Linked DNA regions of Drosophila melanogaster. Changing the gene in region 2 together with the main gene of any one other region gives a genetic interaction. Each region holds a gene or a part of one and is shown on either strand. Other genes may lie near its edges.

Region 1 (5,480 bases), on a different chromosome or scaffold from region 2:
ACTCGGTGGGATCGGGATTCAGACTTAGTCCTCTGCGGTGGGACGCGTGAGGCGCTTGGCGCCTCGGTTTGGTGGCCCCTTGGGCTTGGCAAAAGCCGGTCGGTGTAGAATCTTCTTTGGGTGCAGCTCGTCCTGCAAGAAGGCTTCGGTCAGCTCGCTGCCGCTGTCGATTTCAAGCTGAAATGTAAAACGTTGTTAGAAACATGAATCAGATTTAGTATGATTTAAAATTACTCATTATTTATGATTTACAGATTTCTATTTCAAGTGAAAAGTGAGACATTCGCCCTAATTATGATTCAAAATATTTCTAGAGATCGTGAATCAAAAGTATAGTGAATGTGGCGATTTGAAAGCAATAAATAAATCACAAACAATATATACCCTGCTTTTGCTTTTTATAGCCCTAATCTTTAGTGCTATTAGCGCAGCCACACCCACTCGCATTCATATCAACTCACCTTCTTAACAACCTCCACGCCAAGGGCCGCGAGCTCGTCGAGAAAAGGAGCCTTACAGCTTGAGTACATCATGCGCTCGCGCACGGAGCAGGAATATCCAGGCATGGAGTAGACGAACACGTACGACTCAAAGTAGTCGCCCTCGTGCGTGTGCCGAAACAGGAAGAGGTGGTATCGTGCATGATCCTCGGGCACTTGCTTCGGCAGATCGGCGAGCTCCACTTTGGCCGCACGCGAAACATGGATCTGTTCCTCCTCCAGATCGATGCGGAACTGAAGGTAGTCGTGCTTGCCGCGCACCAAATCCTGAACGGCAGCCACGGTTGCCTCGCTCAGCGGGCAATTGATCCCACCCAGAGTTTGGTGCCGCGTATTCGTATTGATCTCAGTGTGAACCTCTGTCTTTCGCAGCTCTTTCAGCTCCTCCTCCCTGCTGGTCAATGGAGCTGGGGCTGCGAAATCCTGCTTGTGCCGGCGATAGCCCTCCAGCGTGCACTCATCCAGAGTGGTGGCATGCAGCTCCTCTGTGATGTATGCTGATCCGAACTCCGTTTTCAACGTGGCCTTCGTGGAAGCGTATACCATCTTCTGTCGGATGCTGGCCGTGTCCGGCGTCCAGCTGATAAGTAGCCAACTGTAGCCCAGCGGGATCTTGGCGTCCAGGCGATAGAGAATATAGCAGGGCACATCCTTTTCCAGTAGGGGACCTATAAGCTTGTCGTAGTCGCGCTCCCAATCCTTTTTCGTCTCCGCCGTGGCGCCGCAACTAAGCTGCTCTGTAATTTGGGGCGGGGTGAAAACGGATGCGGGTTCGTTATCAAATCGTATGCCTAGTATATATCTTGTGTATATACGTTTCTGGATTAAATCCACTCACCATTCTCGATCGAAACTTTTATCACGCGAAATTTACCATTCTTCGCTTTGCCGAACACCTTGGCCAGCTGCTCGTTGGCTGAAAATACAAAGGGTGTTCTAAGGATGCGGATTAGGTGGTTCCCAAAGATAACAAACCTCGGATACCCGTTTGGTGAGACATTTGGACAACAGCTAAAATTAATATTGCCGAAAAAATATATTACTCACAACCAGTGTGACCGCAAAGCGCGAGTAGGGAAATACTAAACCGGGAAATATGTACCGATTCTGATTGGCAATCACTTCAAAGCGGCTTTAAATGTGTAAAAAAAAAAGAATTATTAATTAAAAAGATACTGTAATGCTATTTTTATAACTAAATTTTGGGAAAATTTTTAACACTCTGTTTTATAGAACATACATTTCAAAAATAATACCAAATGTGTCTGCACTGATACAGTGTTGAAAAATTCTTCAAGCTCCAGTACTTTGCAGCACAGGCCAGCGTTCTTTCTTTTTTCACGGAAAATGTAATGAAAAACTGCATTTAACTGCATTTAAAACGTAGCAACTAGCCCGGAAAAGCATCTGTTGTGCAATCGCATAGTCAATAAAGTGAGTGCACGCGAGATTCGTCCGATTAAACCGCTCCAGCGATCAACTGGAGCAGCTGGGCGTCGACGTCGGCAGAGGCCAGCCCACGCCCCAAATGTTTACGGGCGTGAAAAGTGCGGAAAAGCGAGGAATTTAATTGGGTTTTCGTTTCCCGTTTGCCCGCAGCATCCACACCCATGTTGACCGAAACCCCCATGGCCAGCGAGAACATCATGGACGAACTAGCCTCTCTGATACGCACCGAGATCCCCGATGGCCGCCAGAGTCTGCGGGACAGCTACACGAACCTGGAGCGGGTGGCCGACTACTGCGAGGACACCTACTACCGCGCGGACAACAAGAAGGCGGCCCTGGAGGCCACCAAGAACTACACCACCCAGTCGCTGGCCAGCGTGGCCTACCAGATTAACACGCTCGCCTATAGCTACATGCAGCTCCTCGAGCTTCAGGCCCAGCAGCTCGGCGAGATGGAGTCCCAGATGAACCACATCGCCCAGACGGTGCATATCCACAAGGAGAAGGTGGCCAGGAGGTAAGAACAACAAATTGCTTAAACTAGAATAGGAAAAGGGGATATGCATATTTTAAAACGACAAAGAATACGGAATGAACATTTTTGTCTGTAAGTACGACTCATCGGTGATAAAAGCTTCATAGAGAAGAAATGTACATTCATACATGCGTCGTCAGACGTGCTGATAAGACTGAACGTCTCTTTCTTCATTCTTTTCCTACATAACTATTTAGTTTTTTCAATTCACTTTATTTGTATTAATTATTTTTGATTATCTTCATTGTCTTTTCTCAGAGAGATTGGCGTGCTTACGGCTAACAAGGTGAGCTCGCGCCAGTTTAAGATCGTGGCGCCCATCAATCCGGAGAAGCCCATCAAGTATGTGCGCAAGCCCATCGACTACTCGATGTTGGACGAGATTGGCCACGGCATTAACTCGGCCCAGCACTCGCAGGTGCGACAGAAACATCGGGGCTCCAGCCATGGGTCCGTGCAATCCTTATTGCCGCCGTCGGTGGGACCTCCGCCAACCACGAAGCCCCCAACTCCGCCGCAGATGTCGCGAGCTGGGAACACTGGCACACTGGGCAAGTCGGTCAGCAATACCGGGACACTGGGCAAGAGTTCGCGGGAGTACCGCACTCCGCCTGTGGTCAATCCACCACAGGTGCCATCGCACTACGCTCCCAACTATCCTATTGGGCATCCAAAGCGAATGTCGACGGCTTCTTCAACGATGACTACCACCACCACAGGCGGCGGAGCGGCGGGCAATGAACGAGCTGCTGGCTACAGTGCACTTCCGATGCCACCCAGCCAGCAGATAGCCACACATGTAAACCTGCCCTCCGCGGGCATGATGCAATCGCTGCCACCACCGCCGCCCACTACGTACGACGATCGCAGCAGCATGCCACGTGAGTTAATTTGATTATTCTGCAATAGCTCAATACTAATAATGCGGTTTGCAATTCGTAGCAGCTCCTCCTTCACCACTTACGGTTTCGCAGCACGAGATGACCGAGCAGAGTCACATTGGCATGCACACTTTGGGACGCAATATCAACAGGTAAGTTTCTGGAAAATGCAATCCCTTCTTTGTGTAAATATAACCTATTTATTGTTCTCTGTGCAAATCCAGGAATCCAAATAGGTAAATTGCATGTTTCTCTGTTTATCATAGGGTTATACTCAGCTAAAAAAAGTTATACTAGGTTTTCGTGTTTGTACTGTGTATAACTCCATGAAATTCATATGTTATCTTGTATATTAAACGCGTATTTTTCCAAAGGAATCACTTCAGCTTGAACTTCGCTCGTCCCGGCTCACAGTCGCCTCCCTTGCCACCTCCGCCGCCGCCGGAGGATGAGCATCAAGACTTCGGACGACCACGCACATCGACGGGACCGCAGCTGGCGCCCATAGTGCCCGAGGATCAGAACTTACCCGGCTGGGTGCCCAAGAACTTCATTGAGAAGGGTAGGCTGATTGGAGCAACTAACAATATACCTTACTAATTCTTACAAACATTCCAGTGGTAGCCATTTACGACTACTATGCCGACAAGGACGACGAGCTGAGCTTCCAGGAAAGCTCAGTGCTGTACGTGCTCAAGAAAAACGACGACGGCTGGTGGGAGGGCGTCATGGATGGTGTTACCGGTCTGTTTCCGGGCAACTACGTAGAGCCTTGTGTCTAAGCCTCGCATCGATATTCTAAACATGCCAACCATTACAATAATCTGCATCATCTGGTCTGTTCCAGTCCTCTGCTGCTTCTCAAGAGCTCCAAAAAATTTCAATTCAGTTATCGGAGAGTTAGACTGAGGACCGCAACAGACTCAGCTGACAATGACGATAAGATTTTGAGCATATTAATAAGGACAATTATACAATTACACACCTACACAAGCACAGCAGGCCAGAGAAAGCGAATTCCATTAGCATCAGCCAACCGCATTTAGTCTAATATAAACGAGCACACAAACACACAGAATCCACGGGCTAGGGATACCGCTTGCTGCCCAACTAAAACTATTTACACTTTAGTAGCCGAAAACGATGCAAGAAGGGGAAAGTGAAACCGGATACCCGTGAATAACTTATGCGATATTATAAAACTGTTCCACAACCGTAGACGAATTCTGTCCTGCTCCTGCCGCCAATCCAAATACTTTAAATATTTGCTCACAGTTTTATCAAGCGATTTCTGTTTGCCTTGCGCTTTGATATGCCCGGCTATTATACACCAATACTACCCGAACCTATGCCCCCAGCAATACTGTAGGTTATATAAATTTCAGTTAGCATTTAATACTTAAGTATTGGCCAGTTGGAACTTTTGTTTATACTTTTACGAACCGCAACGATGTCTTTTTTTTGCGAACGTTTAGTTAAAATGGAATTGCCAGCAAAGGAATCAAATTAAATTAAACAATACAAGTACACATACGCTCTATATGGTAAAAATAATAGCTAATAAAAATTTCAATTACTAAACCGCAAGCCCTTGTTCTATGACCGTGTAATTTGCGCTGACCTTCTCGTGAGTCGAGCCCCGGATGTCAGTAAAAATCCGTAATTGGGGCAAGGCTCTGTGGCCTGCCAAATTCAAATTCGAAATCTCAAATGCAAATTTCAAGTCGTGTGATGGAAGGCTTGAAATATTTGCAAATGCCAACACTCATTGGGGTCATTCAGTCAGTCAATCAATCCATTATAATCGACACTTTGCTCTACAAACCGATTTCAATTCAATGTCTCGTCCCGGAAAACTTTTCCATAACTCGGCTCCGGGTAAATTAATGCTTTCGTGGTGATATGTGGAAGGTTTTTTACCCATTTGCTAAATTTATTATCAGGTTTCGAGGAGTTGACGTGGCGGAAATGCCAGAAAAAAGTGGAGTGCTGGCATGATTTGCATAAAATGTGCTAAATTGTTGCCCACTTTTTGGGCCCCTCAACTATACATACATAAATATGGAAATACCTTTATTTGTGAACAATTATTGGAGTGGACCTGAACAGCTTGAA
Region 2 (4,613 bases):
AAATTCTCAAGAAGGATCAGACTCCTGCCTTCAGTTTGGATATCGCACAGTTTGCGATACTTGAACGACAGGCATTTTTGGTTGAAATTGAATTTGATTTACTGGAGAACTGTTTTCCTAAAATCACTTGTAGTTGGGGTCTGAGAACTTTGTACTTCTAAGTCTATACGCATATATATTTATAAAAACCTATATTAACGGAATATTAAACACGTGAAAACGGAATACCAACCAATAACAAAACACTAAGTTAGTCTATTGTTCCAAGATCCAGAGCGCAAATTGTTATTGTAAAGTAATAAACTGTTTTCAAATCTGTAAGAACAAACAATATTTATAACAGTCGAAAAGACGTCTGATAAAATGTTGCTGACTGACTGGATTAAGTCGAAGCATTGTCATAGTCACCAATAAAATATTTTTGAAATTTTAACATATATTCCAGTCAGTCAGTATAGTTTTAACCAGTGTGTCAGTCATGCTGCAATACAAAAAGTTCGATTCTGTTAGGGGAAGGCATTTATTTAGTTAACCTGTGTTAAATGCATTTGAATATTCCTTCAAATTTCTTGCTGCTTTTTGGTAACTTAACAAAGCCACAGAAAGTCCTTGAACGTAACAAAAAAAAAAAAAAAAAAGAACGTAAAATAATAATAACCAGAGAAAAATTAAATTATATTTATACTTGTAAGCGAACAGAACAGAAGAGATCGCATGTGAAAGAGCAAAACCGAGAAAATGAAAAGCAAAAGTCCTACTTGAAAAGTTAATTTAGTGTAAGCGAGGAAAATGTAACTGAAAATGAAATCGGAGCAGAAGCTGAAGGAGGATCGTGTGAATGGAGAGAAGGATCGATTGATACTGAACTCTAGCAGGAGAGAGAAATTGAAACGAACAAACTTGAAATTTCTGTCGGGTATACATACTAAATAATAACTAAGCAAGAACACTAAAGATTGAGAATGCTAAACAAAACCAACGGATAAATAAAACGTAACAAACGGAAAAGGATGGAAAGTATTGCAGTTGTATTTATTAGTCGGGCTAAATGGGAATTTATGAATACATCTAAAGGCATATTATAAAAACCGTAGCTTGATTATTCGATGTTTTTAAATGTCAATTACATTTTGATTTGAGTCAGTTTTCTCTTAAAATCAATAAACTAAACTAGGGTTGACGCAATAGTCGAAAAAATTCGAAGTGTATCCATGAAAAATTAAAGATAATGTTATAAGTTGCATTGCATTGAAAATCTAAAGAGAATAAACTTTTCCTAGAAAGCTATATCAAGATTCTTTTAATTCAAATTATGTGTTTTAAACGTTTGAATTTAATTTTTTTTTGAACAACCAAAAATTAGTGTTCACAATCATGGAGTTTTTAAGCACTGGCTTACTAAGCTAAGTTAACCACCCAACCAGTCCGTGTCGCGCACCCATCATATTGCATTAGCCGAGTTTCTTACCAAACTAGCGCTGCCAACGCGTTCGTAAGTACTAAGCATTTATTATCAATATCGATACGTCTATCGGTATGCTGCCAAGTAGGGTATGTTTAAACGACCGACAAGCGGTCACACGAGTGCAAGTTGGATTCCAATTCGATCCGTCGCGGTGCGTGGAAAAAATGCACAGATGTAGATAAATCAGCAAGCAACGCTAGCAGATCAGATAGAGCTATATCGTCGCGAAAACCGATTAATTTGCCATGTTCAGCGGATCAGCCTGCGGATCAATTAAACCGTAAAAAACAGAGCAGGCGAGCGTAAGCAAGAGAGAGAGGTGAAGCCAGAGGCGGAGGCGCAAGACAAAGTGCATTTTCAGGGCGTGTTTTTGAGACCCCCCTCGCCAGTTAAGCTCACCCAGCCTCCCAGCCGTCGACAAGAAGTTTGCCGACACAACATTTTACCAACATGCTGCAAATTCGCAATTGCACCTGAGCGGCCACTAGAACAACAAATCAGATAAATCGCAAACTTCCTTTTTCCTCCGTGCGTGTGTACTTCTGTGTGTGCGTGAGTGTCTCCAATCTTTTTTGTCTACTCCAAAAACGCAGAAAGAGAAAGAAAAATGTGTGCGTGTGTGTGTGTGAAATAAATTAAAGCAAAGCAAAAGGCAAAACGGCAAATAATTGAGCAAAAGGCCAAGAGAGAAGAGTTAAAGCTGAAGTATATAACAAGAAAAGCAAAGCAAATAATAAGTAGTAGTAGTAAGCGAATAAGCCGTAGCAGCAGGAGCCGAGAGAAGAGAGAGAAAAGTGTACAAGTTGTTGTTGCTGCGCAAGAGCGAAAAACCACCCAACCACCCACTGGCAAATGGGGGCTCAGCAGGGCAAGGACAGGGGCGCCCACTCGGGAGGAGGCGGCTCGGGGGCCCCCGTCAGCTGCATCGGCCTCTCCAGCAGCCCAGTGGCCTCCGTTTCCCCCCACTGCATCTCCAGTTCCAGCGGCGTCAGCAGCGCCCCCCTCGGCGGGGGCTCCACGCTCCGTGGCTCCCGCATCAAGTCCTCGTCCTCCGGCGTGGCCAGTGGCAGCGGATCGGGCGGAGGCGGTGGCGGATCCGGATCGGGGCTGAGCCAGCGTAGTGGCGGACACAAGGATGCACGCTGCAATCCCACCGTGGGTCTCAACATATTCACCGAGCATAACGGTAAGTTCCTGCAAGTGTTGGAAAACAGGCATCGAAAGCATGCTAAGTACACAGAGCAAAAAGCATATTTTCAAAATTTGAAAGCCTTGTTAAGTCAAATTAAACGAAAAACGTCTGTACATAGTGCACGCTCAATCAAAATCGTTTTTATAAAATTAGGTGTGCACTAAAATTTTGTTTTCTATTCGAAGTTATTTAGTGGTTTGATCATTTTGTGTTTCGATTTCTGTAAGCTTGACTTATTTCTCATTGGTGTTTCTTCTTTTACATTGGATCTTAGAATTATTTTCTTGCACATTGTAGTTTGAGTTAAAAAGGCATCAATCGTAGAAATCATCTGGACCAAATCGATCTGTATAAGTGTTGTGTAACATACATATAAAAGTCAGAGGATGCACAAACATGCATACATTTGGAGGTCCCATTCACTTACACACTAATTGTAAAAAATTGCATGCAGCCTCCAAACTCAGGTGTAAATTCCATCATAGTATTGTGACTTTTCTTATTATACATGGAAATTGTTGTTGCTGTATTGCCAATTGCTCAGAGTTGTGTTATCTCACATCCACCACAATCATTTCAATTCGTGATGAAATCTTTTGATATTCCATACAACAGTTTTTAAGGACATTCAAGAAATCAGTAACTAAAAACTTATTCAATGGGGGTACTTTCAATAAAAAAATGCTTTTTTAAGCGTGCTCTTGCCATTAAATCTCTTTTGTAAATATCATGTAAGTTTTGATTTATCTGCCAGTTTGGGCTGCACAGTGTTGTATTTATTGTTCATAAAGTGCAGTCCACTCGGCTTTCCCTTTCCCCCTCTCTCCTTCTTTATGATCCCCGCCCTTCCTCTATATACGCTGCTTTCCAATTGAGCCAATTTCTTTTTTCCTCCATTTCTTCCGATTATATAGGAAATTATTGTTGTTATTGCCGGCTAGTTTCATACTTGTTGTTGCTTTTCCGCTGCTTTTGTTTACTGGAGAGAAGGAGAATGAATGAGAAAGAAAAGTGAAGGAGAGAAGAGAAAAGAGAGAGAGCAGCACGCGTTGCTGTTGTTTTTGTGCTGCTTGGGGCGGTTTCAATCCGCATTCGTGCTCTCCATCATCCTTTATCCTTCGGCCTTCCTCGTGGCACCCTTATCCCTGCCACCCGCACAGTGGTTGAAATTGCGACCCACAACACCGTTATCCCACCCCCGCTGACATATTGCCATTTCCTCCACTTTTCCGCATTTCCCCTTGCATTTTTCCTGCCCTTCACGCACTCACGCACATTTTTATTTGCCTCATTTTTTTGTCTAATACTTTTCCATTATTTGCCCTGCCAAGCTGCATAATTTTTTCTTTACATCCTCCCCGTTTCCGCATTTTCCGCACACCCACTTATTGGGAGACATTTGCCGTTTCTAATAGCTTTTTTATGTCCATGTCGACGAAGTCCTACCACAATAGGACCCACAATCGGGTGGCATTCGGGATTTTCTCAAGACTACCGGAAAAACATTTGTCAGGTTATAATAGTTACGCAGACTCAGTGGTAGAACTTTTTTTTTAACAAAAAGCATAACTATGTATGAGAATACATGACGAGGGTCGTATTAATAGTAAGGTAGTTTTTTAACTTGAAATCGTGTTGCCTTATTCCCCTGACAATTGCAAGCCATTTTCGCAACAGCTGTTTCAAACTGAAAGTGGACTTTTCCGAGTTTTGATATTTACACGCGCGACAATCTGTTCCTAAATGTATTAAATCCATAAATTTGCTTAAGTTCGAAAATTGAAATTTAATCCTTTATTATTTTACTTTTTAACTTTTGATGTAAATACTTCCTTTTGCAAACTATTCATCTCCCAAACGAATGGCTTGGCCAAAGTATTGATTTTTCCTTGGCACTCCAAGCTGAGCCACTTTTCCCAGATGATTTACAATAAGCTGTAGATTTTTCTTCTTGCT
Region 3 (5,026 bases), 120 kb from region 2:
ATTACATATCGTGGGGTTAGTGGTGCAGAGAACAGAACTCCCTCGAATTTCTTGAAGTCTTCGTTTTCGGTTTCCACACGTTTCCGGTTCAAATTTAAATTAAACTTGTTAATTATTCCATCCGAAGAACAACCCACACAAGACAGGAACATGTGTTCACTACTCCACTTCCTTTCCTTGGGCGTCCCACATTTTGCGGGTTTCCTCGTTACCATTTGCGATCATGATAATGATCCGATGCGATCATTTTGATCCTTCCCCTTCGACGTGACGGGCATGCGTCAAACTCAAATACGTATGTAACTCGAGCCAACCTTCACTTTTATTTTCTAGTTTCCTACCATATTTATTCCTTTTTTTCGGTAGCAGATGTCGCCTAACATCATGTCTAATGAAATGCTTCAGTAGCTCCACAATGAAATAGGGAACCCTCATAGTTCGGGGCGTGAAAGTTGTTGACATGTGGGTAGGAATTCCGTGGGGTAATACCTTTGGAAGAACAGGGGAATCGACTTCTAATACATTTCTAGCACGTGTCGTCATGGCTTCTGTTCTAATAATTCAACCGACACAAGTTCAATATAAATATTAAACTATGTACATACATAGGTATACAATGAAAATATTGAAATATTGAAAAATATTTACCAAACACTTTAGTTAAATGGGTAGCCTAATTGTCTGAAGACATATCTCCTACATTAGTTGATTACTCATAAATCATAAGCGTAACATTTTTATAAAATAGAGCACATACTATATAGTAATTGAAAGTATAATACTGGGGGAGTGCCCTTTATTAAATAAACTGCAACAACGTATGTTTTTCTCATAACTGTGGATGAATCATTCTGTTGATTTGCGTATCGCTCAAAATAAATGCATTAAAATCTTCTTTATAGTTTTCATTGCGCAAAAGTTGATTGAAAGAATCATTATATTTTGTCTTTCTTACCAAATAAGTGAATTTTCTCAGGGGTAGGGATATGAAACCCTATGCGAAAAGGGGTGTTGGGTTGGAGGTAGCCAAGGGTAAGGGTTTGTGCTGTAATGACGCATCAGGACGTGGAATTTCCCTACATATGCCAGATGTTCCCATCGGCATAAACTGCGCTTCAACACTTGCCGCCAGTTGATAAGCATTTGAAAACGAGTTTCAAAAACCGAAATCAAAACCTTTACTCAAACAAAAGTGCCATATCAACAAACTTCTTTCCCTTCCCCTTGCCAGCTTCCCTCTCTTTTTAAGAAAAATTAATAACAAAGAAATATAGGGAGATCGGCATCTACTTCTATTTGAAGCATGTACAACTCAGAAATTTTTAATAACTTTAAGTTTTATATTTATAAAGAGCTGTAGACTACGTAATACCTCTACTTTGGGTTTTGGGTGTTGACTTGAACAATTTATAACAATTTTACCCTATGTTCTCCTACATGTTCTATAAAGTATCTGATCTGATCATAATATCTGAGGTGTCTTGTTTCACTAACAATAAACGCTTTACCAAAACTACAATACCTTTTTCATAAAATCACCATCGAACATTTTGCACTTACTGTACAGGAAAACAAAGCCGCTACTTTTACTGCTGCTTTCCAGCCACCCCTATGATTTATAAATTTACAATGCCGGCTGCTTCCAGTTCCAGTGCACAGTGGTCCAGTTCGAACTAAATCATAAACATGAATTATGATCATGTCTAATAAGTTTAATTAAATTACTTATAAAATATTACAACAATTCGTTGTGTAGGTGTTTTCAATGCTAATCACTGTTGCTTGACATAATTTGTATACTATTATAAACTTACAAGTTATATCTTAAATTATGTTTTTTCTTTTTTTCAAGAGAGAAACATGTTCTCGCCGAAAACACGTTCCACTTCCAGTTCCCCGAATAAAAACAAATCCAAGAAAATTAACATTAACAGTTGCTGTTAAGACTCTGTTAACCGTTTCGAAGCCGCATGAATTGCATGACATCGAAACGGCGTCAGTCAGTTTTGTTCTGTTTTGGAAGCCGCACGCGTTTTCCCTCGCTCCGGTTGTGCTCGCTTTCGCATCGCACACACACACACACTCTCGCCGCACAGACGCGACCAAAAGAAAACAAAATCAAATTCGGCGCAAACAAGGAATAACTTTTTATATTCCTATTGTGCATCGTATGTTGTATTAAGTGCAAGAAATATATTTACACAAATCTAACAAAAACACCGCAACTACTTTTGTGCATTTTGTTTTGCTCTGTGCCGAAGGAGCGGAGAAAAGAAAAAACCGCAACAAATCAAAAAATCTGTGCGTTTGTTATACACACCTAAGTGTCCTGCAGGAAGGACATCGGGTTCATTTACGCCACCCGCTGTTTTCAAGGACCAACGGATTATTCCCAATTGCCACATTTCAACAAGTTCGAAAAAAGCAACACACATTTTACACAGTGTTTGCGAGAATTGAAAAAGGTAAGATTACAAATTCGTGTGAAGGACCTCGGGGATTTGTAGAAGAGGAAGAGCAGTTGAAAACAAATCGATGAATTGTAAATGAAGTCAAATTTGTCTGCCAACTTTAATAATTTAACAAGTGAATATGGACACTTCAAACTTGAAAGATTAAAATGTGATTATAATTGAATAAAACAATTTACATGCATATTTATTTAGTTTTATACAAATGTAAAGATTTTGGCCAAAAAGTTTATTGAAAAACGCTAATGCCGTAGCAATTGAAATCTGAGTTATTTGTGAAAAGTAGAAGATAAAAGATATAAGAGCTTAATTTGAAAACTTTTAAAATATGTCGGTATCCGATCTTGACGGCTCTAAATTAATTTATAATCCTCCACAATCCATAATTACCGAGGAAACATCTTACCAAAACAATTTAAATGGCGTCTCGAAAAACATTTCATTCCGAGCTCTTAATAAGATTAATGGGGCTTCACGATTCATTGATATAATCCCTCCGTAACGAAGCACACCCACCCCATCGTCATCATCATCTTACGCGTCTTGAGGTCTAATGGCTCGTGTCAATGATCAGACGGACTCTTTCCCTCAATAATTCCCATTTTCCATCCTTTCTAATGGCTTGTGTCGCGGCTCCGTATGAAAAACATAACCATTTGACATAAATCACGGCCCTGACAAATCCTTTTGAACATTTCATAAACATAATGTGTGTTAATCCTCAGATATTTCAATCCATCAACATCCAGAGTTTGGTGGATGGAGTTGCCCCAAAAATAGCGCGACCCCTTTGGTATCATTTGTATGCACAGTCAGACGCCGGCTTGAATAAATCCCCAAATAGTCATTCCGTAAACAAATGCAAAGGAAATTGTTGAAGGGATACGGATACCGGGAAAAAGGGCAATAATTCAATGATGAATTAATAGGCGCATGGAAATGATCACGAATTCCCGGGATCTTCAGAGAAAGTTCGAGTTGGCAGCTGCTGCTCTTCGATTCGCTCCAGAAAAAGAAAAAAAGACTTCCGGGGAATCGAGCAACTAAAAAGTGAGAAAAGCATCAACAAAGCCAAACAGAGGCACAACAAATGGGGTAGGAAAACGTGAAGATGCCACGCTGACGCAACATTTGCATTCGGAAAGAGATTTATGGAGGCAACTCCCCCGCCCATTGACTTTTCGCTCCAACTTCCCTCATTGTTTTGCCAAGTTTTCAAAAGACAAGAGCCGACATGATGATGTTGATGTGTGTGCCTCAGTATCTCATTTTCCCAATTTACCCCAAAATGTGTGTAATCAAAAGTTTTCGTCTTTACAATTCAATTTTAAATTGTTGTTCCTATGTAAGTGTTGCCTGCTTTCCACTCGAAAAGTAAACAACAATTAAGGAAAAACACAACAAGGCAAATGCAACAAGAATACAAAGCACGATTTTCAACACTTTTTCTCGCTCTCAATGATAAACAAAACTCGGCTATTTACATCTGGAGTTCATGGTCAAACAGTTTAAACAAAAATGGAGTTTTCATTTAGGAAATTGTAAATCCATCAGCAATAAGAACTTGAGAGTCAAGTGCTGCGATACGATCCCAAAACTCGAATCCCCTCAAGAGCTGCTGACAATTGACTAATGAGGGTTACAAGAAACCCCAGCGCAAATCATAAATATTTGTTGTTGACAATTCCAATGGCCCTGCAAGGAGCCTGGCTTCAAGGAATTCTCAGGGTTCTTATCGCGGAGGAAATCTTCGCTTATCTGCCTGAAAAAGGCAACGTGGTGCTAGAAAATATTGTGCAATAAAATGGAATGATATAGTGGAAGGACAGCCATGAGTTGTGAGGAAGGCAGTGTATGCAGACTTAACAGATACCCAGTACTTCCATTTAAGAAACAACTAATTGCATACATAATATTGGTTAAATGCACCAGGAACTTCGTGGTTCAATGCACTCAGTTAATGTTATAACATTCTCCAACAAATATTCTTGAATATAAGATATAAGATGTGTCTACCTCATCAAATCCAAGAGTACGCGGTATGCACAAACATTGAACCAACCAACGCAACTCAGGGCTATCCTATCCCATATCTTCAAGAGTTGTTTGCCCCTCGAGAGTAATTACAAATTCATAAAAATGGCCTGTTTGAAGTGGAAATCTCGTTCCGATTTTGTTTGCTCTTCCCACTCCAAACTCCATTTATTCCATTTTTGTTGTGCCAATCCCCTTGTCCTGGAACTAGGCGCCTTCCGCTGATCCTTTGAGGTTTGTGGGACTCTGTGCCCCTTTACCAGTTTCCGCTCTCTACCTGCCCCAGGAGATTGTTATCCATCAAAATAAAATGAGGGGAGACGACTGTGAATTCGCATCGCACGTGTATAAACCTTTGAGTCTTGCGGTTTCTGGTTTCTGCCCCTTTTGTACTGGAAATAAATTCAGTCTTATATTTCTTATGAATTATTATAGTATGTCCTCAAGTAGTTCTTAACAAACAAGTTTGTATATTTTTAAAGGTTTTCAACATTTGTTGCAACTTGCGATCTATCTTACCT

Evidence for each region. Genes that interact genetically often act in the same process or in processes that back each other up.
Region 1: of Abl (region 2) and Abi, changing one suppresses a phenotype caused by changing the other (phenotypic suppression), as found in Drosophila melanogaster (2 studies listed by BioGRID).
Region 3: of Abl (region 2) and Nrt, changing one enhances a phenotype caused by changing the other (phenotypic enhancement), as found in Drosophila melanogaster (2 studies listed by BioGRID).

The regions. Positions count from the first base shown.
Region 1 is NT_033777.3:14,118,732-14,124,211, reverse strand, and holds Abi (abelson interacting protein), read left to right. Parts: upstream 1-1,791; 5' UTR 1,792-1,934; intron 1,935-1,962; exon of another isoform or gene 1,963-2,099; 5' UTR 2,100-2,110; coding exon 2,111-2,466; intron 2,467-2,742; coding exon 2,743-3,365; intron 3,366-3,426; coding exon 3,427-3,517; intron 3,518-3,589; coding exon 3,590-3,601; intron 3,602-3,739; coding exon 3,740-3,927; intron 3,928-3,983; coding exon 3,984-4,147; 3' UTR 4,148-4,950; downstream 4,951-5,480. Other genes in the region: twf (twinfilin), read right to left, coding at 25-177, 462-1,237, 1,339-1,416, 1,476-1,500.
Region 2 is NT_037436.4:16,644,848-16,649,460, reverse strand, and holds the start of Abl (Abl tyrosine kinase), read left to right. Parts: upstream 1-1,578; 5' UTR 1,579-2,317; coding exon 2,318-2,651; intron 2,652-4,613. UniProt on the Drosophila melanogaster protein: Arm and Abl proteins function cooperatively at adherens junctions in both the CNS and epidermis; critical for embryonic epithelial morphogenesis regulating cell shape changes and cell migration.
Region 3 is NT_037436.4:16,764,076-16,769,101, forward strand, and holds the start of Nrt (neurotactin), read left to right. Parts: upstream 1-1,996; 5' UTR 1,997-2,465; intron 2,466-5,026. UniProt on the Drosophila melanogaster protein: May mediate or modulate cell adhesion between embryonic cells during development.